Drosophila melanogaster: one gene and its partner. The protein of the gene in region 1 purifies or fractionates together with the protein of each later gene. This does not show direct contact. Each region holds a gene or a part of one and is shown on either strand. Other genes may lie near its edges. The genes, in order: Syx4 and Snap29.

The links.
Region 2: the proteins of Syx4 (region 1) and Snap29 purify together in Drosophila melanogaster (affinity purification with mass spectrometry; 2 studies listed by BioGRID). This does not show direct contact.

What each region holds. Positions count from the first base shown.
Region 1 is NC_004354.4:2,737,780-2,747,392, reverse strand, and holds Syx4 (syntaxin 4), read left to right. Parts: upstream 1-3,316; 5' UTR 3,317-3,909; coding exon 3,910-3,942; intron 3,943-4,434; exon of another isoform or gene 4,435-4,476; intron 4,477-4,595; coding exon 4,596-4,832; intron 4,833-5,401; coding exon 5,402-5,495; intron 5,496-5,561; coding exon 5,562-5,804; intron 5,805-5,896; coding exon 5,897-5,970; intron 5,971-6,148; exon of another isoform or gene 6,149-6,236; intron 6,237-6,388; exon of another isoform or gene 6,389-6,588; intron 6,589-6,921; exon of another isoform or gene 6,922-7,009; intron 7,010-7,847; coding exon 7,848-8,096; intron 8,097-8,160; coding exon 8,161-8,232; 3' UTR 8,233-8,304; downstream 8,305-9,613. Other genes in the region: crm (cramped), read left to right, coding at 8,931-9,471. UniProt on the Drosophila melanogaster protein: Potentially involved in docking of synaptic vesicles at presynaptic active zones.
Region 2 is NT_033778.4:23,842,112-23,847,913, reverse strand, and holds Snap29 (Synaptosomal-associated protein 29kDa), read left to right. Parts: upstream 1-3,150; 5' UTR 3,151-3,267; coding exon 3,268-3,535; intron 3,536-3,604; coding exon 3,605-4,191; 3' UTR 4,192-4,431; downstream 4,432-5,802. Other genes in the region: CG5554 (uncharacterized protein), read right to left, coding at 1,325-1,807, 1,974-2,148, 2,218-2,379, 2,583-2,755; shu (shutdown), read left to right, coding at 4,720-4,778, 4,836-5,586, 5,662-5,802.

The DNA of each region.
Region 1 (9,613 bases):
GTGTGTGTGCTCGCTATACTCCCCGATGCGTATACGATAAATAATGCGACTTGGCAATTTTCATTGCCTTTTCTGGGTTTTATGCCTTTTTTGGAGACCCGACCTTAAAGTTTCAAGCTGATAAAATATTACTAAACATGGATAGATCACTAAAAAGCACTTGCACTACTCCAATCAATAATTAGTATATATAATAAAGATACTGCTTGGCAAAATAGCGGTATGGAAATAAAAAGGGACAATCAAACCGTACATTACTCATACGCCCCGTGGGTCTCGAGAGAATGCGAGCCACCCACCTACAGATGTATGTATGGGAATACAAACCAAACTCGCCCCTGACATCCAACAAGTTTAATTAAAACACAAACTAAGAGCATAAACAAATGAATAATTCACATTACGATGTGGTGCACGCCCCCACGTGAAGGACCCTTCTTCTCTGTGAACCATCGAAACCAAACACTTATCCTGACCGCAACTAGTCAAAAATTTGCATTGAAAAAAAAAACCGAACAAGAACCAGAACCAGAAACACCATGAAAGTGGGAGTGAGGGGACTTTTTTTGGTTTCTGGTTTTTGGTTTTTGCGTTGGTGTGACTTTTATGCAAATGGAAGAGAGAAATATGAAATTTCGTTGCATAGTTTTGGGCGCGTATTTAAATTGGTGCGGATCAACCTTCTCATCCTTTTTAACCCATCGCCCTGCACTTGCAGCTTGCCTTAAAGGCTTTAAAAGCAATTTGTCTACAGTTGTGTTTGGCACGTGAAATATTTGGATATTTTCCTCCGCCAATTTGGGCATGGCAACCAAGCACGGGTATACCGAGAGATGCCAACCCGGTTTAATTCTGTTTAATCAGTATTAGGAATTCAATATATTTATTTGGAATGATCCGAATGGTTCATACTCAAACGAAACATTTCTAAAATTTAATGTTTAATGGCGTGCGAAGATAGATAAAAATATGAACTGAGAACTACAGGATATCGGCAGGTCTAAGCCATTTTTGCAAGAGTTCAATTATTTATCATATTTTTTGTAAATGTTGCCCTATTTTTTTTGTTTTTTTCTTTTTGACGAGTGCGAATTTAATCAAAAGTCAAAAAGCGCACACACTTGCCGACCCCACCGCCCCAGTTGATTTTCCCAAAGCTATCGCTTTTCCACCGCACCGCCAGCGCTTTCCATCAGTTTCCATTTCTCGTTTTGTGCGTGAGCCTCTGACCCAAATAAAAACAAACAAAAATAACAACAGAAGTGGTAACTAAGGTGGGGACAACGCACAAAAAGACTCATCAAAAACTCATAAATTTGCAATTTTCGACACATGACAAAATAAATTGTAAACAAAGGAAAGCGCGAAAGCCGAGAAAACTAACAAAAAACGGGCACAATAAACTTGACTGCCTATAACAATATCTCCGCTTTTCCGACCCCTTTGTTTATGGAAAAGCAATGGAAAAAGGTGAAAAGCGGGTGTTAAACGCAGGGAATATGAATATGTTGCTGTTTTGCCAACAATTTGCACTAAAAAAATAAGTGAATAGATAATAATAACCTGGAATACATTTTAGACTTACAGTCCGCAATGCAAATAAAGGCGGGAAAAACAAGAATTTCATCTTTTTGTATTCTCATTACCTAAACTCAATGAATCCCATGGATTGATAAAAATAAACTGCTTTGTATAGCCACTCCACCTAAATTGAGTTTTGCTTTGTTATGCAGTTTTTTTTTTTAACTTTACAGCACAAAAGTGACAATATCTTCATTGAGTCAGAGTTCTATACGATCGTTTGTAAATAAAAGCGGATTCACGACTTTCGAGCAATTGAATGCCTCTTAATAACGAGTTGGCAAGAAATCGTCGACTAATAAAATGATATTGGAACTCACAAAACCTTCCGAATGTATCTGATAAGCGATTGGCGGTTCGAATTCCACGACGGGGTCACAAAAAAAACATGACTTATATGACTCATTTTAAAAGCCAAACAAAAAAAAAATAAAGCAAAAATAAAGTAACAAGTTCAAGCTCAGAAACATCAGTTTATCTCAATCTCAATTAATTGGTATTTTGCAATAAAAAGTAAATGTTCATGTTTAAAGGGTGTATTAAAGGGTATTCGCGAATTCACATATTCCACATTGAATTTCCAAATCGATTTAAATGTTTTAACCTTATGGCGCTACATGCAGTTCAATTCAAAGTATCAGTATATCACGTATACGTATGCTTTTTATACAATCATTAGAGAGGGAAGAATTCGCGACACGATTCTTTTCTGCCGTCTTTTTAAATGGCATGGCAACTTGAGAAGAATTGCGAACCAAATGAGAAATGGAAATTCGCAACTGTCTGGTGTTGATGGTTTTATTTTTCTTGTTATTGTTGTTGACGTAGTTGAGGGCAGTTCATAAGCTTCGTTTTGCAACCGCAAGAATTGCTAATATAAAGCGGGTAGACCATCTAGCTACCCAGTAAGCAAAATAGCAATAAATTTATTATGGGAAACTTTCGAAGAAACAAGCAACTGAACTGTGCTTAAGAAGTATAATTTACACAAGCGTTTTGAAGGGATCAAGTTGTAAAAAGTGGTGAGTACAACGCTTGACAATGAATTTACACCCTTGACCTACATAGATGCGACCCGCTGATACCCTGTAAATGCATATGGTGGCACAGTACAAAGCCAGCAATAGAAAAAAGTTCAACTAATTAGCGCAAGTGACTTTTGAACGTTCTCGTCGCAGGTTTATTTCTCTTACTCGGTCTTTTATTTCAATTGAACGGCAACATGGAGCGTGAAAAGTGCGACAACAACAGCAAAAGGCGGCAGAGCAATGTAGAAATGTTTACCATACAACAGAGTAGAAATAATAATAAAAACAATTAACACATTTTTCTCCGCCGCCTAACCAGTTTTCATTTCGGTGGCAAAGACGATTTATTCATTTTATTCGGAGACAACAAAAAATGTAGATCGCCACTAACTACACATAATGTAGTACGAGTCTCTATCTTTATCTCTCTCCAGCTAAAGCACATGAACGTACATATCAAATACACCGAAGTTCATGAAATCGAATACCTTCGTATATTCAAATCACAATTCTATTGCTGCATTTAATGTACATTTTTGAATTTTTCATAACTAATTTGAATTTGGATTAGGCCCAATGAATTTATACCATAAAATGCCTATTATTTTGGCCCAGGCTGTAGCCAGAGTGTTTGCTGTCTTTAATCTTTTTGAATTGAAAGAAATCTCGACGCGACTGGGAGGCTCTGCGTTTTTGTGCCGGCGTCGATTTTTTAGTTCGAAAACGTATGCGGCGCGGTGAAGACAAAGGAATTGATTTTCAATAAATCGAATAAAATGTAGCCGAATGTATTTACATGTTAAATTTTAAAAATACATAAAGCTAGTTTTTCCCATAATCCAATTTTTTTCTTTTTTGTGTTTGTGTGTGTGTGCAACAAAAGAGCGAGTAAGAGAGCAAAGAGCCGCCAATAAATGGCAAATATGTGATAGGTGATAATCTGTGTTTAGGCCTTTCTGACTGTCCCTCTCTCTCTCTCTCTCTCTCTCCATGACTTTCCACCCCGCCCTGTCGCTTTCCGAAGGGCAGACGGTAAATATTAGGCGGCTCTTATCAGAAACTTGTGCGCTGATAAGCTTTGATAGCAGGTTTCGCTCTCTCCTGCGCTCTCAATCAAATTTTCCCATTCGCGAACAGCTGTTGGAGGCAACGGCAACAACAAACCAGGAACAAAGCTCAGAAGCTGCTGTAAAGGATATAAAGTGGACATTTTGGAGTACTGGAAAGGAATTCAAGGAATTGGCATAAATTTGGCATATAATTGGCATAATTCAAACCAAAGGCAGTCCAAGTTGCAGAAATGGGTAAAGATCGACTGCCCGAGCTTTTGCAGGTAAGAAAATATTAGAAACGTGGGTGGTTGGTTGGGAGGTTGGGATGAGGTAACTGCTAATTAGTTTGAAGCACAGTGGTTTGGCATCACTCAAACCGCAATACGAATAAAATCTACTTAACACGATGAAATACATTTGGTGGTATTTGCCAGGAAAAGGATTCCACTTTTCTCGGTAAAAAGTAATCCTAATCAAAGTTTTTTTTTTTTTTGCGGCACGTTGAAACACATTCTGACCAAGGTGCTGCCACCTTCTTTACAATTGGCCCAATCTCTCACATTTCTGTTGGCGCTTTTGGCACTATTTCGACTTGTGAGCCAAGGGGGTTTGGTGGGTGTTCGCTATGGCATTTATCAGATCGGCCAGAGATAACGACGATAATGTGGCCACACATCACACTTACGGGGCAACCCCGCGTTTCCGCCGACAAACTTTTAGCACCAAGTGAATTTCAGTACCGAAGTCATTTTTATAGTTCATTTACACCGCGCCAGATTGTGAACACACAAACGTAAATAAACTCAACCAAAGTTGTTAGTTTCAATTTAGTTTTTTCTCAGTTTTTCCCTGCAGTTCGTTAGGATCGCATGGACCTATTTTATTTTTATTTATTTATTTTTTTTTCTTCTCATTTTTGCTGTACTAATTCCAGCGCTCATTGAGCACGAACTCGTCGAACTCGTCGTCGAACGGTTCACTGCTTTTGAACGTGTACAGTGGAACCACGGAGTTCATCATTGGCAACACCGGCGGTAACAATAATAGCTACAGTGTCGTTAGCCAAAACTCTCACAGCTGCAGCAACAATAACAGCAGCACCGAACCCAAGGATCGGTCCAGTTCAAAGATGACGCAGTATGGCTCGAATGTGGATGACATACTCAATCCGGTGAGTTTAAGGATCGAAGTGTATACAAAACACAACTTCAGAATTCATACAAGTTTTTACTATTATTGAGTATTGAAATAGTTAATAGAAGAAACTTTAACTCCTAAGATAGCTATCTTGAAAGTTATAAATACTTAGCGAAGCAAGAACATACAACAGAAAGCAGCTAATATCTAGCATAGTTAAACGTTTCCCCTCAATGGAAATAAAAGATCAGAGAGCCGGAGAGAGGGAAACCCTTTTTTTCTTTTTTATGGCTTACCCACACATGTGTGCACTTATGAATCAGCTGTATTACTCAATCGCTGCCGGCGTAGCGCGAAAACTCGTGATAAGTCCAGAAAAAAAAAAAAACATTTTCTCATTAAATACGTTTTTTATTGTGGTTAAGAGAGCGGACGAAGAGAAGGCAAGTAGTCGCCATGTAAACGTAAACAACGGTAGACAACTCTTGCAAAGCAAAAAAGCAATACAAGCACTGCTTCCTCCTGAGCAAGGAAATGTACTGGAAATGCAATGGAAGTGAATATACGATTTTAATAGATTTTTACGGTATCCTTCCTTTTCAGTACACGGAGATTCGCCAACAACTCGCACAGATAGCCGCCAACTTGGAGACGATGAACCGCATGGCCCAAACTGTCAATCTGCGAACTTTCAACGGTAAGAATTTGAATCTAAAGTTGTGAATACTTCCACTGCATCACGGTCTAAATCCAATTCGCACAGAGAACGAGATGGATGAGCTTCACAACAAAAACCTGAGGCTGGGCAATCAGCTAATGACGCGATTCAACGACTTCAAGGCGAATCTGCCGGCGGAAAACGATTACAGCTTGGAGGCAAGGATGAAAAGAACCCTTTTCTATGGACTCCACCAGACTTTCATCAATCTGTGGCACAAAAACGAACTATTCCTGCAGAACTACGAGACCAAGGTCAAAAAGAATCTGAGACTGCATACAAAAATCAGTAAGTGTGATACAAAATGGACGAGTCTGATTAAATGCTTTGCAACTATTACATTATTTTGTTTAAGAACTTCGTTACAATCTACTTTTTAGTTAATTCTGAAGCCAGCGAACAAGAAATCGAGTTACTCATCGAGAACAAGACAACCAAACTCTTTGTGGATAATGTGAGTAAAGAAAGAATTATACAAACAACTAAGTCTTCTGTCTGATATGATTCCTTATCAAAGGTTTCATAAACATATATATTTTAATATGTTCGGCATTTAGTATGTAGTTTAAATGACATTTTATACAATCTAGGACTATTAGCTACTAAATATTACTCAGTAGAGCGCAACTCACCTCGATGTTGTATTCATTTTTCATTTCATTTGACTTTATCGCATCTATAATTTGCGAGACGATCATTTTCATATCACTTTAAGTAAAGCTTTACACAGAAAAAAAAAAAATTTGGGATTTTAATAGCTAATAGGATATAATCACTTTCGCAACTTTTTCAACACTGGAACACCATAAAAAAAATGAAAAAAAAAACACTGAAGCTCATTTGGTGTAACACCCACACACCTTCATACATACATACATATGTATGAAATTATTTTGCTCAAACGCAAAATTACCGCGAATTTAGGAAAAAAAATGCTTCGTATCACAATGCCTATACTCGCATTTACTCGAGTAACAGCACTAAACAACGGTAAATTCAATAAACTTAATTTCGCGGTGCGCAGTTAAAAAACACGTGCGTATGTCGATGCTCACGAAGAAGAAGGAAAGAGGAAGTTTAAACAGGGAATGATCAAGGGCCAACGGTAAATCAAACTCATACATACTCTCTCTGTTTCCCGCTGTTGTATTAACATCATCTATTAGTTAATGAGGCTGTTAAATAAGGCATTATGTTCTGCAATACAGATTATCACATACGTTGATTAATTATATTGGTTGAGTGGTTAGGCTATACATTTTTATATTGAATAGAATATATTTTCAAACTCAGTGGTTCACCATCAAAAAATATAAAAAAAGAAGTGGAAGCTAATTTACCGCAACACACACATTACATTACATACATGTGTAAATAGATGTTAGCACACACATTCTATACATACAAACATATTTCGCGCGCCATTGAAAACGCAAAATTACAGCGAATTTAGGAAGAAAAACGCGCAAATGCTTCGCATCACAATGCGCATACTCGCATTTACTCAAGTAACACTTTTCACCATCTAAAGATCGTTGAATTCAATAAACTTTATTTCGCGGCGCGCAGTTAAAAAACACGTGCGTATGTCGATGCTCGGGAAGAAGAAGGAATGAGGAAGATTTAAACAGGGAATGATCAAGGGCCAACGGTAAATCAAACTCATATGCACTCTCTCTGTTTGCCGCTGTTGTTTTAACATCATCTATTAGTTAATGAGGATGTTAAATAAAGCATTATGTTCTGCAATACAGATTATCACGTACATAGATTAATTACATTAGCCGTATAGCTAAGCTATACATATTTATATATATAATAGAAACTCAGTGGTTCACCATAAAAAAAAAGTGGAAGCTTATTTAGCGCAACACACACATTGTGTATGTTCATACATACATATGTAAATGCGGATTTTAGCGCGCACATTCTATACACACAAACATATTTCGCGCGCCATTGAAAACGCCAAATTACCGCGAACTTAGAAAGAAAAAGCGCGCAAATGCTTCGTATCACAATGCCGATACTTACATTTACATCTAAACCATGTTAAATACAACAAACCTCATTTCGCGACGCACAATTAAAAATCACGTGCGTATTTGGATGTGGCTGAGAAAAAGGGAAGAGGAAGACTTGAAGAGAAAACGATCAAGGACCAACGGTAAATCAATAAAATAAGATCTTCACCCGCCCTTTCTAACATTCTCTGTTAATTAACCTTCAATTTAACACAAAATGTAAAGATCAAAAGGTATTTGTATTGCAAATAGTAAATAAATGTAGACATTTGCTTAATCTTTATAATAACAATTTTTGTATTTTTAGTTTCTGCAGGAAACGGAAAAGGAGCGGCAGACACTGCGCGAAATGATGGATCGATTCAACGAGCTGCGCCGCCTGGAGAAGTCCATCGAGGAGGTGCACGCCCTGTTCATGCGCATCCAGACCCTGGTAATGGAGCAGAGCGAGGTGATCCAGCGGGTGGAGTTTCACGCCCAGCAGGCCACGCTCCACGTGGACAAGGGCGCCGACGAGCTGGACCAGGCGGAGCAGCACCAGAAGAAGGCGCGCAAGGTGGGCACACTGCGAATCCCCGAGAGCGTTGGGTTCTAAAAGGCATTTTCCCTTGTATTTGCAGAAAAAGATAATGCTCATCGTGATACTCGCAGCCGTGTTGCTAGTATTACTCCTTGTTGGTATTTATTTGTGATGCACGCGAGAAACTTTATTTTTTTGGCCTATTTTTAAAATTTATACGTAAGAAAATAAACTTTAAAACCTCAAGAAGAATTTTTGCAATTAATCAACAGGTAAAGGAAATCAATAAAAGCTTATGCTATTGAGAGCGTGCTCTATTCTGAGTCCCTTTAAATCATTAGTTTGTTTGTTTCGTGTGGATTTTGTATATTTTTATTAAATTTAATATGTAAATAAGATAACGGTTAGTTCAAAGGGTACGCATTTAGCTGGAAAGCAGCCAGGAAACGAAAGCTGCGGCTAGAACTAGCCATTGGCGGCTGTAAAACAACCGAGCGGGCATCGCTGCGGGTAAACAAAACAACTTAACAGCAACCACTTCGCGCCTAACAGCACACACTGCACTGTTGATACCACACTGTTGGCCAACATCAACATCCCTGGCGTCTCGTTAATAAGTTTTTTATATAGTCGTTTGGCACCGATTTTCCATGTCTGATTTGTAGGTGAGTGCACGTCGGAGCTTGGGAAAGCCTTCGAGATCATTTCTGGTCGGTAGTGGATTAGCCCGGGCGCGCGGTTCAGCGACAATACCAAGCAATCGGACGGTTCGGCGCCATTTTCCCACTTTTCCCGGAAGACTACGCAGTTTAATTGATATTGCCATTGATTGATCCTGTCTAGGAGGCAAGCGGATGTGGATTGGCCAACATGGAGGAACTGTCCAAGCAGCCGCCGCCACCCCCGCTGACGCAGCCGCCGCCGCCGTCGTCATCCGTGTCCATTGAGGAGCCGCTGCCAAATGGCAAGGGAGGAGGAGCAGTAGTTGTTAACTCGATAGCTAAGCTGCCCGAGGAGGAGCTCCTCGGCTCGGTGACCATGCACAATTGTCCGGGAACGCGGGCCAGTGCCCGGGTCATACAGAAGATGAAGCAGGACCAGACGCGCCCGATGACACCGCCGCCCAGCGAACGGGAGCCGAACAAAAAGGAGGAGAAGGCCGCCCAAAAGACGCCCAGCCAGCTGAAGACGGGCAGCGGGAAGACCACCTGGACGAATGTGGAGCGCAACTGCTTCTTCGACGCCCTCAACGAATTCGGCAAGGACTTCGAGGCGGTGGCCAACTGCATCAATGCCAAGCTGAAGCGCCGCAATGCCAACAGCGACTATAGTTTCAAAACCAAGGACCAAGTTCGCCAGCACTATTACCAGACCCATCACAAGATTTGCAAATATGTGCGCTTCTCGGAGGGTAAGAAGAAGGGTCAAACTGGATATGACATGTCCCGAAATGTTAAATTAACAAGCTATTGGCAAAATAATGCGTTAATAAGGTCACAGTTAGCTTGTTTCGGTTTCCCGGAAAAATAGATTTTCGGCGCCAAAAACCTCGT
Region 2 (5,802 bases), on another chromosome or scaffold:
CACAACAGAAAAATTTCCAAACTCACACACAGACAATTACTTAAAGTATTTGAAAACTTACCACAGCCCGAAACGCACTCTTCACATACCCATACCCTTATCCTTACCCATACCCATACCCATCCTCATCCGCATCCAGATCCCCATCCCGATCCCAACCGCAATCGAAAAGACCTCCCAACAAACTTCCTCCATACGCTGCAATAGTACAAGTTTTACAACCAAACAATATATATCAAATATATATTTAAATATAGAAATTATATATACACACACACCACAAGTACCTTATCCCCGCAACCCCCGAAATGAATCCAACAATAGCCATAGCAATTTGTTGAAAGAACTATTATTTGTTGAACAATCAAAATGTTGTAATTAATCCAGTTAATTCCGATTTCAATCACAAGTGCCAACAGATCAGGCAAGCAACGCTGAAGATGAATCACATTTGATACAGATTACAGATATGTATTTGTATAATCATTCTTTTGTACTCTTTTTATAAGATAGTAGGCATGAATTTTTGTACGCCTCAACGAGCTAACTATTTTAAGCAACAGTTTCAGTTACCCATTTCTTTGCGTTTGGAAAACAGCCACATGTATTGGAAAATTTGAACCATTTTGGACCAGCACCACTCACACACATCTTATAACAATTATTTGTAGTTTTACACACACGAAATTGCAGGGATTTTGTCTTATTTCATATTCTCCTACAATAAACTGATAATAAATTTGTAAAACCATTAATGTTCATGTTGTTTATGTGGTGTTAACTGTGAATGAAACTAATGGATTTTCCATTTCAAATATACATACGTGCATATGTGAAATTTCTTTGGGATCCAAATTATTTAGAAGCGCAAAGTAAACAAAGCCAGTTTAAATTGTATGTTTTTTTTTATTATTTTGTAATACGAAAATTTAATACAATTTGCGATTGAAGTACAATTACAAATGAAATGCTTAAGAGAAATGAATTGTGTGGAAACCAAGTTGAACACAAAATACAAAAATGCTTGGCAAAAGGTAAAAATATACGACTAAAGTTACATTTAGTTATTGTTACGCTTGCTATCGCTTAATGGATTGCAATTTTGCTTTACATAATTATGAAATACATGGGGCGCCGTTTTCTGGCTAGGATTAGAAGGAGGGAAAACAATCGGTTTTGTGCGCGAAGGCAGAGCAGACGGATTATGTCCGCTCGAATGATGCTTGGGTAAGAGGTTGTGTTCCTCTCGATTCAGTGTGTTAGTCTTTTTGTTGCCGCTTCTGATGATCGCTAAGGCTGAAGATCCGCAGGGACCCCGCTGCACCTAATCGCCTTTGCGAGGCTTGCGCTTGCGCACCTGTTCCGTCTTCTCGGGCGCAGCATCGCCGGCCTGCTTGGGCTCCGGCTTCTCTTCCTTTTCCGGCTCGCTGTCGGCCTCCTTCTCTTTAGTGGCCAGATCGCCCACCTGCTCCTCGCTGTCCTCTTCCTCTTCGTCGTCGTCCTCCTGTTCTTCCTCGTCGCTATCGCGTTGCTCGTCATCGTTCTCCTCGGCGTCGCCATCATCCTCGATCTCCTCGGTTGCCAAATCCTCCAGGCCCTCGGTCAGATTGTCCTGGGACTCGGAGAAGCTCTGGCGCTGCGACTTCTTGGGTGGGTAGACAAAGTCCACAAGGCACACGAGCAGCAGCCCCAGGGCAGCGCCCACGAAGATGGTGGCGATGGCGAAGAGGGCGTAGGAGCCCCACGTGGGCAGTCCGTATTCCTCCTGCAGGCGCCCGTTGAAGTCCTTAAAGAGTTTTTGCGTATGCTATTAGTACATGAACCCAACATACAAGACAACAGCAGAGAGCAAAGACCAGAGTAATGAGTGATGGGCGGCAATCTTTTGTGGGTCAACGGGATCAACCCGCTGATAAGCTTCCGCTTATGTCTCATGCAGTGAACCGATGCGATAATGGGCTAGGTGAACGTACCTTCAGAGTGTGCGAAAGCTTGAAGAAGTAGGACAGCACGGACATGTGGGTGGTGTCGGGCTTCTTCCAGGCGGACAGCGGTTCGATGCTCTGCCACTGCTGCTTCTTCACGAAGTAGAGGAGGGCGTCGCCATCACGGGCCCCACGATACTGCCGGAACTCGCCATCTTTTACGCTGGAAATGATTGACGTGGATTACGACGATGTGTATTTCATGGGTTGAAAAGGTCTATGTGGTGCTCACTGGTAGATGGTGGGGAGGGCGGTGACAAAGAAGCGTCCACTCAGCGAGGGCGAGGTTGTCACGTCGATTTTGGCCACCTGCACCTGGACATCCTTGGCCACGCGGGCAAACCGCTCCCAGGTGGGAGCCAGGTTCTTGCAGGCCGGGCACCATGGAGCAAAGCTGTGAATGGAGGGAGAAACATATGTTTAACACAGCTGCCGATGAGTCATCGTCGCCGCAAAGGAATGTCTGGTATTTCGGAGAACGAAAGAACCAGCTTGCCGGCTGGAGAAAGCCGGCGCACCACGCCCCTTTATGTTACGTCAGGGGCAGCGGGGTTTCATGTGGGTAGGGACTACTCAGAGCCACCCTTTCGCACTCACAACTCGATCATCCATTCGCCCTGGAGCATCAGGTGCCAGTTGTCCTCGTCCAACTCGATTAACTTGCCACCTGGCTGCAGTCCTGACTGCGCTGCTGCCGTCGACTGCGCCGTCGCCGCCAGCAGAAGCAGCGCCGCGCATGTCGCGGCCACAAAGTACGATGTGCTATGCATGTGGTGATGTTTTGGTGCTTTGCTCCGCCGATTCGTGTCCTGAAACCTGTGACGTTCGGCTGCGACAGTTTCTTAAATTAAACTAAAGCTTCCGTCTTGGTCAGTTCCAAAAAGTTACAGAAACTGCGACGCCTGCTGGAAAATTGACAGAAGTGCTGGTTCGATATCCATCGGAGATGGCAAGCCGCTTTATTCCCCGCTAGATCATCGGTAGGGGGATTCGGTCGGTATTCGCTCGTTACACGATTTTTTATTTATTAGATCAAGCTTCAAGTTTTCTTACATACAAATTCAATTTTTATCGTATCTTCAAAATCATTTTAATTATAATAACTTATTTTATTGAAGCCTCTGCAATGTCAAGCTATTTATAAGTCGATTGAACTGCATACAAATACTACATTTGTACCATCGCTATTGCAATCGATAACTCCAGACAACAACAAAGAAAATAAAAGTTTACGAAAACATAACAAAATTCGACATTTTGGAAGTTTCCCTCGCCACAAGAAATGGCCCATAACTACCTGCAGCCAGTGCACGATCACTTCGATGACGTGGACAGATTCGAGGACGTGGACGACGACCTATTCCTGCAGAACAAACGGACGGGAGCAGCCAAGCTTCCGCAGCAGAGGAGCACCAATCCCTTCGAGATGGATGACGATGACGAAGAGGAGATAACCTCGTCGCCATCAGTGGCCGCACAGCGACTGGCCTATGCTGAGAAGCGAAGGGCCATTGAGCAGCGAACTCTGGACTCTACCAACAAAAGCTTGGGTAAACATGGGGTCAATTGCCAGCCAATTAAGGGGCGTTATTGATGCGTCTCTCTCCTACAACCCCCAGGTCTGCTCTACGAAACCCAGGAGGTGGGTAAGGCGACGGCCGTGGAGCTGGCCAAGCAGCGGGAGCAACTGGAGAAGACATCACATCAGTTGGACGAGATCAGCTCCACGCTGCGCTTCAGCCAGCGCCATCTGACTGGTCTGAAGAGTGTCTTCGGCGGCCTCAAGAACTACCTTTCGGGCAACAGGGACCAACCACCCACCGCGACTGGTTCGCCCACGGGCAGTCAGTCCTCCCAGGAGGCCAATAGCAACATTAACCAGGGTGCCTGTGGCGGTGCTAGCCCCTCGGCTCCGCTATCACCAGCGGAGCGCTACGACAATCATCCGGTTAGCCAGCTGCGTGGTGATCCCAGCAGCACCTACCAGCCCCAGCGACAGGCGGCCAATCCCTTCCAGGCCCAGATCGATTCCAATCTGGAGGAGATGTGCAGCAACCTGTCGGTGCTGAAGATGCTGGCCACCGATCTGGGTGGCGAAATTGAGTCGCAAAATGAATTGCTGGATAACATGAACTACAAAATTGAGGATGTCGACTTGAAGATTCACAAGCAGAACAAGGACATGAGCAAGCTTCTGAAGAAGTGAACAAGCGAGCATTCGCATACTATTGTATTGATCATTGCTTAGAATAGCCCTCCCTTAATATACAAATCTTAGCCATACCATATCGCACGGTGAGCACTTCACAAGGCCATTAAGAATGCATTCCTCATTATGTTTCCTAGTTTTTTATTGTTACACACACCAAAACAATTCTCTCAATGGAGTGCTCGTAGTTGGAGAGCGATAAGTGTTCAGTTTTAAATAAAGATTCATATAAAAAGCAAGTATATCTGGCCTAGTGTTTCCCCGTCTGGATTGGAATACATTATACATTTTCGGAAGATATCTCGAGTTGCAGTGCTCGCGCCCTAATAAAGATATATAGTTCTTTGTTTGAATTCGATAACTTCCGGACAACAGCGACCAATCGATTCGCTAAAGCTATCAAGCAATCGAATTCCAGTTGATACCATCGCTGGAAAGCTCTTTTCTCAAACGCATCCAAAAGAATAGCGCCAACTCAGCGCATTCCGGAATTCGTTTCGTAAATATTCTGTAAATTTTGCGATAATGGAAGAAAACTTCGAACCGTACACCCCACAGTTGCTCAAGAATCCCTTGTCCTATTCGTGAGTAATAAGATACATATTAAAGGCACTCATGACCACGTGCAACTCATTCTGCAGGGATCTCGTGAAAAAGGGCGTTGAGTTCGAGGTCGACAATTCGCAGCAGAACCATGCCAGGGATCTGGGTCTCGACAGCGACAGCGACAGCGACTACGAGGATGCGCTGGACGTGGACGGCGAGGAGCTACGTTCACCGTGGACATATTCATTCGACGAACTGCGTGCGCTGATGAGCGAGATCGACGAAAACATTTACAAGCGGATCACTCGCACCGGTCACGTGGATCGGGAGGCGGTGCCGAACAAGGCTAGGGTCTCGGTTCGGTACAGTGGCTACTGGGAGGGCGAGACCGCTCCCTTCGACTCCTCCCTGCTGCGGGGCAGCAAATTCGTGTTTGAAACTGGCCAGGGAACGGTGGTTGAAGGCCTGGAGGTCGCCGTCCGCAGCATGCGTCCTTACGAGCAGGCCGAGTTTATAATCTCCTACAAGCTGCTTTTCGGAGAACTCGGTTGCCCTCCGCGGATCAAGCCCAAGGCGGATGCGCTCTTTAAAGTGGAGGTAATTGACTACTCGCTCATAGGAGATGCGAAGGGCATCGATGCTATCCCCCAAGAAGACCGCGACAAGTTTTGTGTGGTCTATCCGAAGGCTGTCGACTTGCACCTACATGGCAAGGACTCGGTGAAGCTCGGACGCTATCAGAGTGCAGCAACTGCCTTCGAACGGGCAGTGAGCTCACTGAACTACTGCCGAATGGCCAATGACGAGGAGGAGCGCAAGCAAACTGAACTGCTTACTACCCTGAACGTAAGTGGCCAACAAGAATAGCTTGCAGAGGCAGCGTTCTCGACCAGGCAGTTGATTCCTTGTCTCCTTTCTCAGCAAAACCTGATGATCGTTTACAACAAGATGAACAAGCCGAAGCGCGCCTGCATCATGATGAAGGCCTTACGGCACCTGACCATGGGCAATCCGTCTTGCAAGGCGCTCTTCCAGGAGGGACGCGCCCTGGCCGCTCTGGGC